Linked DNA regions of Lytechinus pictus. The protein of the gene in region 2 purifies or fractionates together with the protein of the main gene of each other region. This does not show direct contact. Links are inferred from orthologs where the notes say so. Each region holds a gene or a part of one and is shown on either strand. Other genes may lie near its edges.

What was found.
Region 1: the proteins of UBX domain-containing protein 6-like (region 2) and nuclear protein localization protein 4 homolog purify together in Homo sapiens (affinity purification with western blotting; 3 studies listed by BioGRID and IntAct, with this or other methods). This does not show direct contact. The link is inferred for Lytechinus pictus from reciprocal best matches to the Homo sapiens genes UBXN6 and NPLOC4.

The regions. Positions count from the first base shown.
Region 1 is NC_087254.1:29,541,053-29,547,895, forward strand, and holds the start of nuclear protein localization protein 4 homolog, read left to right. Parts: upstream 1-3,837; 5' UTR 3,838-3,963; coding exon 3,964-3,978; intron 3,979-6,843. UniProt on the Homo sapiens protein: The ternary complex containing UFD1, VCP and NPLOC4 binds ubiquitinated proteins and is necessary for the export of misfolded proteins from the ER to the cytoplasm, where they are degraded by the proteasome.
Region 2 is NC_087247.1:47,551,502-47,558,857, reverse strand, and holds the start of UBX domain-containing protein 6-like, read left to right. Parts: upstream 1-4,334; 5' UTR 4,335-4,708; coding exon 4,709-4,809; intron 4,810-6,057; coding exon 6,058-6,206; intron 6,207-7,356. UniProt on the Homo sapiens protein: May negatively regulate the ATPase activity of VCP, an ATP-driven segregase that associates with different cofactors to control a wide variety of cellular processes.

The DNA of each region.
Region 1 (6,843 bases), on a different chromosome or scaffold from region 2:
CCGAGCAGCGTGAGCTGAAAATATTAATATTTAGACCATAAAACGGACATTTTACAGAGCACTTGAAAAATCAATTTGTAAATTTAAAAATTTGTATTTTTTAATCATTTTCCAAGTCATCCCCTGACCTTTTTTTTTCACTCGTCTTCCTCCTCTTATTTTACCTCTCATTTTTCCTCCTTTCTTTCCCCTTCTTTTTCTTTTTTTCTTTCTTTCCCCCTTTTTTTTCTTCATTTTTTTGCCCTGCCAATAGGGGGGGGGGGCCGGGTCCCTCGGCCCCCTGGATCCGCCTATGGATGGAGCTCAATTTTACAGCTTCTTACGGCGTACGTTTGATTCCAAGATACTCGAGAATGCCTTGAGTACTTCTTAAGTCAAACGTACGGCCGACGTATGACTCTGTGCACTCCCTTTGTCCGGGGGGTAGTTGTCCGGGGGTAGTTGTCCGAGGGGTAGTTGTCCGGGGGGTAGTTGTCCGGGGGGGTAATTGTCCGGGGGTAATTGTCCGGGGGTAGTTGTCCGGGGGGTAATTGTCCGGGGGGTAATTGTCCTCGGGGGGTAGTTGTCCTCAGGGGGTATTTGTCCGGGGGGTAATTGTCCGGGGGGTAATTGTCCGGGGGTAATTGTCCTCGGGGGGTAATTGTCCGGGGGGTAGTTGTCCGGGGGGTAGTTGTCCTGATACCATCCCGATGTACTAATTGCTGTATATACTCATGCGTGACCAAATTATCTCCAAACACCCCCCTAAACGATTTTTTTTCTCTGTGTGCAAAATAACCACCTAAACAAGTTTTTCGCGGGCCTTTACACAATTTAGCCCCCAAACAAGTTGTCGCCAGAATATGACCCTTAAACAAGTTTTGTCTCACTTGATAACAGTAACCGCGTTTTCCCGTTTCCCATGCCCGTTCCCAGGGTCGTTGCTTACAATCGGGAAGAACCCGAACTGACACTTTTCAGAAACGAGGAGGAAAAGGCCTGGGGGAAAAAAATACCCTAAACACGTTTGGCTATAGTCTTTAAAAAAAAGCTTTGAAAAAAAACATACCTTAGTACGTTTGGCCCCGCGATTGACCATTGACAAGTCTTTCAAAACCAGCCTTTAAAAATATATATATACATATATATATTTCGCCTGAGTCCTGATAGTTTTGAATTTCATATGAGGGGTGCAGGATATATGGCCCAATTATCTTAACATCAACTTAAAAAGTAACAAAAGTTCAAATAAATAAGTGTACAAATTATAAGCGGCTTCGCGACTCAGTATGGGACTGAGAGGTCGGGCCTTCCGACACCACCGTAATACCCCCCCCCCTCGCACTTGTTAGCAAAAAATAAATAAAAATAAAAATAAATGATATATAAATAAAATCAAATAATAGTAATATAAAAAAAACAATTGCTGATCGAGCGATGGAGAGTGTATGGAAAGAAAATATCAGAATAAACTTATCTGACTTACTTCAGACCGTCATCAGGTTGATAGAAATTGAGAACATCCCCACCGCCCTTTCCACCCTGCATGGGCCCATATAACCTCACCTTAAAAGTATCAGGGGGCGGATCGGCTTTCTTTCACCAATAGAGGGGCCGGGGGAATATTTTCATCCACAGCTAGTTTTCCCCCATCGGCCGCTAAAAGCTGATTTTTGTCGGTGTTGGAGGGATTGGAGGGGGATACGTCCCAACTACTAACAAGATAATGTCAGAATAAATAATGTTTGAGCGATCCGCGAACTCAAATTTAATGATATTTCACTATCAGAAATTGCCAAAATTTCGAGAAATTTTTGTACGCAGGAATAAAATATGTATCTATATAAATGAACGATTGATGCGAGCGAGAACCGCGATCGAGCTGAAATTTTTAACATAGGCCTACTGACCGGACCTGATAAGGATTGTTTGCAGTGACGCATGAACAAGATACAATAAAAATGAAGTCAGCGCGAAGCACGAGGTGATTTTTTTTTATTTTCCCACCTGAAAACAGAACATTCGAGCACTTTGTTGTGTTTATCTTTTTATGAACAGGAAAGTTATATTATCAATATGTGTGTGAAGAGAGACCTGATCACTTTTGATATTCCGATGATCTGAAAACTGAACAAACGTATTTACCGGCCCCTTAATAATTAAAGATCAAAGAGTACGAGAACGAGTAGTCAGGAACAGGACGTGTATCTCGCAGAAAAAAATACAGAAAACTGTAATCACGGGCAGATTAATTTGTGTTTATGTATTTTGAACCCATATATCCTCTAAATAAGAAGATTGTTATCTCACTGAACAGGTATAATGCGAGCGCGGAGCTTGAACGAAATTTTTAGTTTGATTTGAACTTGGAACTGAATTTTGTTTGAAATATTTTCAATTATCCTCCCTACCCTTCTTTCGATGAAAGTATGGGGAGGGATAGACCGGGGGACAGGGGGATGGAGCTCAAGCTTGAAAGCCTCTTCCCAAATCATAATAGAATCAATCAGCAGCTAAAATAATGGATCCAGACTTTTGTACTCGTTAACTCTGATTATCTTTGTATAACGCGCCCGATTGATTATAAAAGGATTTTCTTCCCGTGTTTTTGTTTTGTTTTGAAATTCTATTGTTCTAATTGCACGTAATTCCCATAGATTTCCAAACCATCTACTCGATTATATATCTAGGTAAATATCCGTTAACAAAATGTCATATCAAGTCATTTTTTATAACGGGCTTAATTCTTAGTTCACGAACCTTCAGAGGATCTTATGACATTATTTCATTTTTATTTTTTTATTTGATCGAGGGATAAACGTCTTTTCTCATGGGCCAGTGCATGGTCAGCGCCGTCAGGGGCACCGTAATTCGCCTGAATCCCCGGAGTGACCCAAATGCACTGAATTTCCTGATAAAATGGGAAAGTATAATAATTGCAATCTGTTCACTAATGTTGTGTTGTCGCTGGATCGAGACTTAAATGAGACGAATCAATGCAAGATGTAGAGTTCATATGAATTTATTAAAGATGATAACTTGATGATGATGATGATGATGATGATGATGATGATAAATACATGAGTAAGTCTGATGCTGACTGTAGTCCGGGACTGTAGTATACTCTGAAGTATATAAAATAGACTCTGCAAACTGATGTAGTATACTTTTCTGTAGCTCTAAACTCCAGTCTCTATTCTGTAAAACTCTATAATCTATTCTCTAACCAATCTCTATTATCTGATCTGGGTTCAGAAGTGAACCCCTTTTATATTGGTCTGGTCAAGACCATTTACAACCAAAGTGGTGTTGGTCAACCTTGGACGCTTGACCAAAACAATCTGTACATCATAACTTTACTCCGAATTGAGGTAGTTGACCTTTTAGGGAGAACATATCAATGTATAGTGAATAAGAAAACCCATAAAATGTGTTTGCGTCAGAAGTTTAGCTAGAAGAAGAATGAGTAATACTTTCTTAAGAAAGTTGGAGTTGGTAAACATATGATTTAATGTTATACTTCCTGTAGAAGTATTGATTAAGTATTGATTATGTATTGACATATTATTGAATATGTGAGATATGTCTTATCTTCACATAACACTAAATTGCCAATAAAATTGTATGGTTTTTAAACAGCTATAAATCTTATTCCTTGTCCGATTTCTTCTTATTCTGTTTTTCCTTATTTTCCTATTCTACCAAGGTCATTTACCTTTATATTTTCTTCATATATCGATTAATTCTCAATCAGGCTTTTCCACTTTTTTTCCCCGAGATTTTTCATCGCTATTTGTATATCCCCCTCTACAAAAGACCCCTCCGATCCCATTTTTGACCTGGCTTGTCGCCCTCTACGTTCAAATGTAGAATTAATCTGCAAGTCATAGAATTACGTTCTAACGCTTTCTGACAACAGTGTATCCATTTAGACGATTAAATTAACATTTCCTGAGTAGGCTATTCTTTATTATATCACCTAACATGTCGGGGACCATTGTAAGTATTGTTTAAGAATACGAAATATTTTATCAAAGTATCAAAACATGATTTTGAAGGTTACTCGATGTGAATGACTGAGACTGGTCTGAGTGACTGTGCAGTGTCTTACTCACTGAATCTGAATGGAGATTTCACAACACCTCTCACTCAGTTGCTGTCTGACTCTGAGCAGTGAGATCAAGGCCCCGTCTTTTACTTTAGTAAGAGTTACGATTGATCTGATCAATCGCAACTATGGACAGCCAGCAAAATCACCATATAAAATGCATGATTGTTCCAAAAAAAAATCTAGATATGAATGTATATCCATAAATTCATTGATTTCTTGACAATTTGGTGTGTTCTAACTTCAAGTTCTAACATTTAACAAGACATTTTGCAAATTTCCTGTAGGGCCTACTGTAGAGAAAATTATGGCACTGATGGATTTCCATAAGTTATGATTGATTGTATCAATCGTAACTCTTTGTAAGACGGGGCCCAGGAGAGCGAATTCTGAGTCAGGCCCAGTGCATATTGGTACTATGGACGGTAGTGCAGTGCGATAAGTCAGTCCATACATTGCACAATAGTAGTGGGTGATTGTTGCCATGTTGGTGTTGCCTGTTGGTTGAGAGTCACTCAAGGGTCCATTACAGGTAAGACTAAGTCTAAGAGTTCCATATGCACCCCCCACTAAAATTGAAAATAAAAACATGGAGAAGGTTCAGAATAATATATCTAGCCCTAATATCGAACATATATGATGGGGAAGTGGAAATACATACCAATTAAATATGGCTTTATTCCGTCAAATTTCGAGCGAGACCTTGTGCGTGTAATTGTCCATAGACATCGGTTTATTTAGTCAGTAAAGGGTCTGCGAGTCAAGACTAGTCGAACTATCGGCTGATAATCGTAAAAATACCCTTTCCGGTATCAGCGCTTCTCGCTAGCATAGCGGGAAAGGTCTTGACTGCAGATCAAACAAGGTGAGTTCGAGTCCCAACTAAGGTAAGCAACAGTAAAAAAATGATAGAAAAATCTGAAGTGAACGAACCGGAAGTCTCAACAATCTTTTGTTATTTTTGGTGGGGGGTGCATATGGAACTCTTTCCCCATTACATGCCGCCGTGCACAGAAAAATCAAACCATAGAAGTCGTTAGACAGCTGGCAGCCGTCTGTTTCAAGGAGTTTTAAAAAAAATAAAAAATAAAAAACATTTAAAAAAAAATTCTCCTCGTACACAGACGGCTCACTACCGTGCAGCCACCATTAGGGGGTTAACAATGCAAAATCCCCCCGACGGGGCTCATCGATTTTTTTGTCTTTATTTCATAAAAATGTATAAAAAGAACTGTACCAAACTAAAGATTATTATTCCATTCCGGCCTGAAATGCACCAAAACGGGGAAAATAAACTTAAAGAGGAATCCAGCCTTGGCCATAAAATGTTGTGTTGGGAAGGAAAAAAATAAATTAAACAGAATGGTGAAAGTTTGAAAGAAATCAGACAAGCAATAAGAAAGTTATAGCTGCTTTAAAATTGAGAAGTTTTCCCTTCCTCACATCAATTCTCCAGGAATGATAGAGAATCCACCGGGGGTGGCGTCTTTATTGGAGTCTCAAGAAACATCACGACAGAGAATAAACCAGAGCTCTCAACGGACTGTGAAGTGGTTTGGAATAAGATCAAACTGAAAGGTGAAAGGGAACTCTATTGTGGCTCCTTCTATATGCCTCACCGTGACATGAAACACCTAAACCAACTCCGCAACTCGTTGGAGCGCACCATGGAAAATCTCAGAGACCATCATGTTATTTTGACTGGGGACTTTAATTGTCCAGACATAGATTGGGAGCACCTCAGCACTCGACCAGGCGCCGCTGAGAGAGAAGTACAACAAGCTCTTATTGACATCACTTTGGACTTTGGCCTCCATCAAATACATGAGCAACCTACAAGGCAAGACAATCTGCTAGACCTCGTCTTCACTAACAACCCATCATTGGTGAAGAGTTCAAACAGCACGCCGGGGATTAGCGACCATGCCATGGTAGTAACGGACTTTGAGATCCTACCCCACATTGTGAAACACAACAACAAGAAGTGTTACATGTTTCAGAAAGCTAACTGGACTGAAATTCACCAGCGAGCTGCAGTGTTATCTACTGAACTCGTCACTAAAACTGACTGTAAAGTAGGAATCGAAGAAGTTTGGACTCACTTCAAGACATCACTGTTTCAGATCCTAGATGAACATGTTCCCTCCAAGACAGTGCGAGGTAGGAAATCTCTCCCGTGGTTTTCACACAGCCTCAAACGAATGGTGAAGAAGAAAATGAGACTTTACAAGAAAACCAAGAAAACCACCCACGGTGCAGCCAAGAAGAGTGCATGGAAGAAGTATACAGACTTCCAGAAGGACTGCAAACAGGCTTTCAAAGTAGCTGAAGAGAATTTCATCCTATCTTCAGTCATGCATGGTTTGGAGGAAAACAATCCTAAGCCCTTCTGGAGATACGTGTCCTCGAAGAGGAGAGATAGAACTGGTACCCCAGCACTAAAGAAGGATGGTAATCTGATCCATGATAGCAGACTGAAGGCACAGATGCTGTTACAACAGTTCAAATCGGTCTTCAACTTGGACACCTTCATCCCACCAGTTGAAACAAGAACTACCAAGCCTGCACGCAAGATTGACGATCTGCACATTTCTGTCTCTGGTGTGGAAAAGCTACTTGGCAAGATCAACATCTCAAAAGCAGCTGGTCCAGACCTTATTCCTAACATCATTTTAAAGGAATGTGCACCCGAACTTGCTCCTGGCATTACAGCGATGTTTAAGCTGTCAGTGGACTCTGGTGCTCTACCCCTCGAC
Region 2 (7,356 bases):
GCATAAGAAATTACATTTTTGGCAATTTTTGGTGGATATTTGTTATAAATGTGAAAATTGATACTCTCACCAAAAATTAGCATTCTACTAGCTTAATAAATATGGTTAAAGGCAAAAAAAAAATTTAGGGCAAATTTCATATGCTTATTTGCATAATTGATTAATGAAAAAAATATAAATAATTAATTTTTGTCTTGTAAATTTGATGCAGAAGTACATGAAATTGCTGATAGTACACTTAATTGCATGTAAAATCGAACGCACCCAAATACGCGGAATTCTACTACACAGTGTGCTTGCGTGAGTGGCTGTATAATAGAAAACATAAAGTTCAACAAATCCACACTTTAAATATTTTGAACTTGAAAAAATAAAGCAAATAGGCTAAAACCATGTAATATTACAGTTTTAAGTAGTTTTAGTATAATTCTTAATTGACCATGCAGTGTTCCAACGTACCCCATACCATGTTCCAACTTACCCCGTATTGGGGTAAGTTGGAACGTTTGCGATGGTCTTGTTCAAGGTGGATTTTTTTCAGTAACCATAATAGAGTTGAAAATTTTATGGGGTACATTATTTTGAAGCCCTTAGATATATGCTTCAAGCTGATATATTGATTGTTTCTCGAATAAAATCTATTTGGATTTTACAGCCATTTTGTCAAAAATGTGCCAATTAACCCCGGTCTCCCCTATGTCGCGAATTTTGTCTCAAAAGTTGCGCGAGACCTCAAAAAAAAAGTCATAAAATTTTGCGGTGCTATCTTTTTTTGCGTTTTGGAAATATTGCACGAAACGTTGAGGGGGAGCATCATGCCCCCAGTCATTTAAGGGTTAAACAGGCTTAAACATCACCATCTCAAAGACGTGCACCATGGCTAGAACCTCGGACCTCTGCATCAGTTAATTTATACTTCCTCCATGTATTACAGGCGCACGCCACAATGCAGCACCCAGAAGATATTGTAGGCACTATTATTTCATAAACTATATAAAATATGTTGTGATCATAAACTAATCAACGTTTCGGTGGTGCGTTTCTCTCGGTTAAGAGTTGGCCCCTATGATAAACATTTGACCTTTAGCGGTGTTGATCTAGGCCTACATGAATGATGTTGGTGATGATGATGATTATGGTGGTGATGGTGGTGGTGAAGAAGATGATGATGATGACGATGATGATGATGATGACGACGATGATGATTATGGTGGTGGTGATGGTGGTGGTGGCGGTGAAGATGATGGTGGTGATGATGATAATGATAATGATGGTGATGATGATGACGATGATGATGATGATGATCGTGGTGGTGGTGGTGGTGGTGAAGATGATGGTGATGATGATTATGCTGGTGGTGGTGGTGAAAATGATGGTGATGATGATGATGATGATGATGACTATGATGATTATGGTGGTGGTGGTGAAGATTATGGTGAAGATGATTGTGATGATGATTATGGTGGTGATGATGATAATGATGAGGATGGTGATGATGATGATGATGATGATCGTGGTGGTGGTGAAGATGATGATGATGATGATGATGACGATGAATATGGTGGAAGCGGTGGTGGTGAAGATGATGATGACGATGATGAAGATGATGATGATGATCTTGGTGGTGGTGGTGGTGAAGATGATGGTGAAGACGATGGCGATGATGATTATGGTGGTGATGATGATAATGATGATGGTGATGATGATGATCGTGGTGGTGGTGGTGGTGAAAATGATGGTGATGATGATTATGCTGGTGGTGGTGGTGGTGGTGGTGGTGAAGATGATGATGATGATGATGACGATGATGATGATGATGATGATTATGGTGGTGGTGGTGGTGAAGATTATGGTGAAGATGATGGTGATGATGATTATGGTGGTGATGATGATGATAATGATGATGATGATGATTATGATGATGATGATTATGGTGATGGTGGTGGTGGTGATTATGGTCTGATGATGACGATGATGATAATGATGATGATGATGAAAAATTCAATTCAATTTAACATGATTTTTAATTTCAAAATTTTCAACAGATACATATTATACGAGATAATAATCTCTATATATTTCTTGATATTTTGAATAAGGACAGGTGTCGCTCTGTCACTAGTTATTGACTCCGGAGAGCTCAAGATGTCAGTAGGTTCTCAATAGGAGGGGATAGAAATGCCTGTATTCTGAACTCAGGTTTAAATTACACCGTGATTTAAAGTTGTGGTTTAACTATGGAGAGCCCATTGGGGCACAAATCCTTAACAGCACACATCCAATTTATTAACTCATTTGACACTAAAATTATCCATAATTGTCTATGAATGATATCTGAAGTATTTCCTTCATTATGAAAGCAAAAGAAAACAAAATAGTAAAGATAAGAAAAAATGTATTATTAACAGGATTTACAATTTTTTGGCATCCCATAATTTTAGAACAGAGTAACACGTTAGACCGTGGTCAAAGTTAAACCCGAATTCAGAAACCGGGCCATATATATATATATATATAAAGGAAGAGAGCCCTTTGCACAACGTGTGTTGCAGTGCTAATCCAGGCATTGACGATTTTATTTGTATGGTTTTATGGTTTTGTTCTATTTTGTTTGTTTCAATACATAATGGCCTGATGAAGGCCCTACTGGCCGAAAGCTAGCATTAAATGAGATACCTTGAAAACTACGTCTAGCTTCAATGCCTGGATTATTTTACGCCTATATATATATGTGTGTATATATATATATAAATATATATATATATATTATAAGCATATATATTATCATAACCATATATATCATTATGACCTTAGTTCTCATATTGAAAACTTTATATTACATTTTTATCAATGATAAGAAAATGATCATTGAATTTGTTACGATACTGCAACAAATAACAATGAAAATTTAGTTTTAAATTTGATTTCCTTTTTTTATTACAGGAAATATAATTAACCATACACAAACAAATAAAAAATAATAATGGTTTTACGTCTCTTGAAGTGTCAGATGCACAATCCAAGGTTAAGATAGTATATCCAAATTAAATCCCAGTTGGTTGGCGAAGATTCCTTAAATTAAAGTTCACAATGATGGCGATGATGAAATCGATGTTGAAGCACGATGAATAACAAGAGTCACTGTAACATGTTGAAATGTCCATGAAGACGATGTTGATGATGATTAACAGTCAATTTCAGCAATCCATGGGTTGAAAAGCGTTCATTAAAACAGGTTGATGATCTCGATGAGAACTGAGAATTCCTCTCTCAAAAAAAAACTGCAAACAGTTCATTGATGGCGTGCAAATAATACCACAGAGGATAAATATTCCGGTTGGAAATAAACTCTGCTCTGACATAAAGTCTGGTGTGAAACTCTGAGTTCTGATCTGATATGATGTAATGATGTCCTTGAAGAAACTGTCAGCTTATATACAAATTATTTACTATTATGGAAGCTTCTAGTATTGTCTACAAAAAGAACATTCTGCCAATTTCTAGAGCAGTCTAATTTTAGAACATTCTTGAATGACCTCAGTGAAATAAACAACATAGCTAATCCTATTGTTCATTACCACAACCACTTGGAATCTCTTTGTGTTGCAGTCTCTATTCAGAAATAACAAAATTCCTCGGCCTATTAAAGAACATTCATGAGTAACAAAGCTTTAGTGAGACATGTTGGAATATTCTTAATCATTCTATGCTATGAATATCCTTAAAGAGGAAATAACTTAATAAATGAATGTAATTGCTCTTACAATTCCTCTTATAACAAATTCAATGTAAACCATTATTGATACTATATGACGGTATTAATCTTAGCATTATAATTAATCGTGTTGAATATATTGAAAAGAGATGGGGCATGGGCAAATGTGTGTTAGAACATAAACGGATGACTTGCTTTGTATATATTCAATTCAGTTCAATTCAATTCAATCTTTATTCTATTTCCAGTCAAAACATAATACAAAGTAATATAAAGTAATATAAATCAAGTACAATTTTACAGATGAGCATTCTTACTTCATATATATATATATATATATATATATATATATATATATATATATATATATATATATATATATGTACATAACGAATCCATCAATCAATGTGATATATTTTTGTTTTGCTTTGTTTTGTCATTCCATTTTGCTACTTATCACTTCCTTTTATTATACAGCAAACATTATTCTTTGAAAATACAAGTAACATTTGGTGCATTCATTGTATCATTCAATTATTATTTGTGTGATATGTATCCAGTGGCGGAATATGGGATCCAGGATTTGAAACGGAGGGGGCGCAACCAACAAATGTTGGGCGCAGATTAAATTTTTCATAGACGGATTTAGCTAAATTAATGTTCAATGGGCAATTTTCTAGGGGACGAACGCCCCTTGCGGGGGTCCGACTAACTTTACATCTGACACTGTGCTGTGGATCCTAAAATAGATCCCCCCCAATTTTCAAGCCGCTTGCTTTTCTATGTTGTTTGATCCGCCAGTTTTATGATATACTTACTCTACTCTCTTGTGATATTTACCTAAACTGAATTGAATTAATTTACTCTAGCCGGCTTCGACTCGAGATGTTGGCGCTGTTTATTGTTTACATCTAATGTTACGTTAGACCCTATGAATATTATCTGATTCATCTCTCGTTTTGTTGGCTGCCGTTTCGAAATTTATTGTTCAAAATGAAGAAGATTGGGGAATTCTTCGACAAAAAGAAAACGGATATGAAATTCAAGAGAGCTGGTCATGGAGTAAAATTGAACGAAAGTACGCCACAGCCCAGGTATTTGCTATTTAATATTTAATTGAACTAACGGTTAGACTAAAACTATTTTTTGTTCTTTCGAACTTTGCATGACACGGTTTGCCATTTATGGGACTACACCATTTTTCAGTCGTTGCCCTTTGGCTTTGCTTATGTTATGGCATATGCTAAACAGCTGGCAGCCGTCTGTTTCGAGGAGTTAAAAAAAAATTATTTCTCTTGAACACAGACGGCTCGCTATCAGTATCGTGTAGCCACGATACCTTTTTCAAGTGACCAAAATATTTCATATGCGAAGAGGGGTCCGATTGGAAGCTGAAATCGTAAAAAGGAAAAACGATTTCGGCAAAATTTTTACATAACCTATATTTTGTAGGTACCGGTTATTGTGTATTTATCGTGAAATTTTGGTGAATTTTATGAGAATAATGTGTTTGATATAATTGAATTCATGAAAAGTGTTCGGTAATACAATCCACTATACCATACCAAAGTAAAGATTATTATTCCGTTCTGGCCCGAAATGCACCAAAACGGGAAAAAATAAACTTAAAAGGGGAAAAAAACAGTGACTTCGGCTGTCGCGCAACTCCCACTTCTCTGGTTGATCCGAATAACCAATACAATACACCTGTACAGATCGAGCTAGAACTTCGGTCTCTGTATTTGGTGAGTGGAGCCAACGGAGTTGATTCAGCGGAGCAACCAACATAACAGAGACCGAAGCTTTTGGTCTAAGCTAGGCAGGCATAATATGCCATAGTAATAAGCAAAATAGTACGATTAAAAATGGATTTCTAAAATTCCATAACAAGATTCAGTTGAATTGTTACTTACAGCTAGGCCTATACAGTTACTAATACTAATTACTAAATAGAAATTGAAGGAGGCTATATTCTCATGCCATGAATAAGAATTCTAGACCCAGGCCCTATGACATGTCTTGACTTGACCGATTCCCACCAAATTTGGGCTGTGGGGGTTTTCATCATGCTCAGCCAAAATATGGTATAAAAAAAAGTGACATGCAAAAATGGAAAATTGATGACGTCACACTTCAATACAGTAGATGATTATAAATCGCTTTTGGACACAAAACTTCCATTTATCCAATCTTTTTCCATTCAAAATATCAACTTCAAATTCCAAGGGCAGGCATAGAACTCATTTCAGTCTAAAATCTAATCTATTAAATATTATTCAATCCTGTTTTATATTTGACGAGATATGTTTTATTCTAAATTCTTTTCCTTTTTTTCCATCCAGTACATCTGGTCAATCTAAACCAGTAGCCCCAAGAATGCAGCCTACTACTAGTTCTCAGATGGCAGGCCAGGCAGCACTGAGTAGACTTACTCCAGGTCCTGGTGCAGCAAGACCAGGATCAGCAGCTTCAGCATCAGTCAAAGCACAGGGTATACATCTAGTCACGTATTGTATTACTGGACACTTATCATGATTCCAGACGTGTACATGTATATTGCATACTCAACGATTTCGTACCGTAAGACTTCAGCATTTCAATTTTTCAACAGAGCAATACATGGAACAAGATTTCAAAGTCGAAAAAAATCTAACTTTTTCCTTATTTATCTCTAAAATGACAGATAATGCTTAAAATATCATACAGCATAGTTTTGCATTAACAATTGATATATTTTCTGACGGAATTTTTGGCCTAATTTGCCAAATTTCAATCTCATCTGTGCCTTCGATCGAATGTTGACGTGTGGTGTATTGTGGGTGATCGTCGACGGCTAGACTCCAGGTTATACTGTGCGTGATGTTTAACGTGAGTATAGCCATCGACGGCGCATGGATAGAACTTGATAAGCATCACGATATGAACGAGCATAATATTGGAAAGCTAACAAGAAAAAATAGAATTCGTTAGATCTAGAAAACACAAATTTATTACCAACATCTGCTCAGATTCGATATGAAAAAAGCAATCAAAACTTAGAGTTTACGCATGATGTGATACATAAAAAAATTATCACACAAATTCTTTCTTACATCATTATTAGACAAGAATATCTTCACCCTTCTCCCTTTTGTCACCCGTCCGGAATCATGATGTAATTTGTCACACACGAAAATAATTGTTTTTCGTGGAGGGGTATGCGGCAAGTGCGATGCAAATAAAATGGTTGGTAAATATCAAATAATTTACCATATTCATAATTTTCCTGATATTTGGAATAGCAAGTGTGAATTTGTCTTGATTGCATTTCCTCTAATTGTCATTTGTAAAACACTGAAATAAAGGTGTCTGGCAATAGGATACACTACCATGTGTTGTCAATCAGGTGGTGTAATGGTCATATGAATTCTCTGCTTGTGCGCCTTAATTAAAGATCAAGTCTAGCCCAAGAGCAGGTTAATTGAATAAATAGATTTCATCAAAATCAAATGGAAAATGAAAAAAAAATTGCTTATTTTGACAAAATATGCACAGCATAGATGCTAGTGAGAAAGTCTATATGTCACACGCTCGCTTTTTGAAAAAAAAAATTATTATAGGATTTATCAATTTTCTTTTAGTAGATAAATTTCACATTTTTA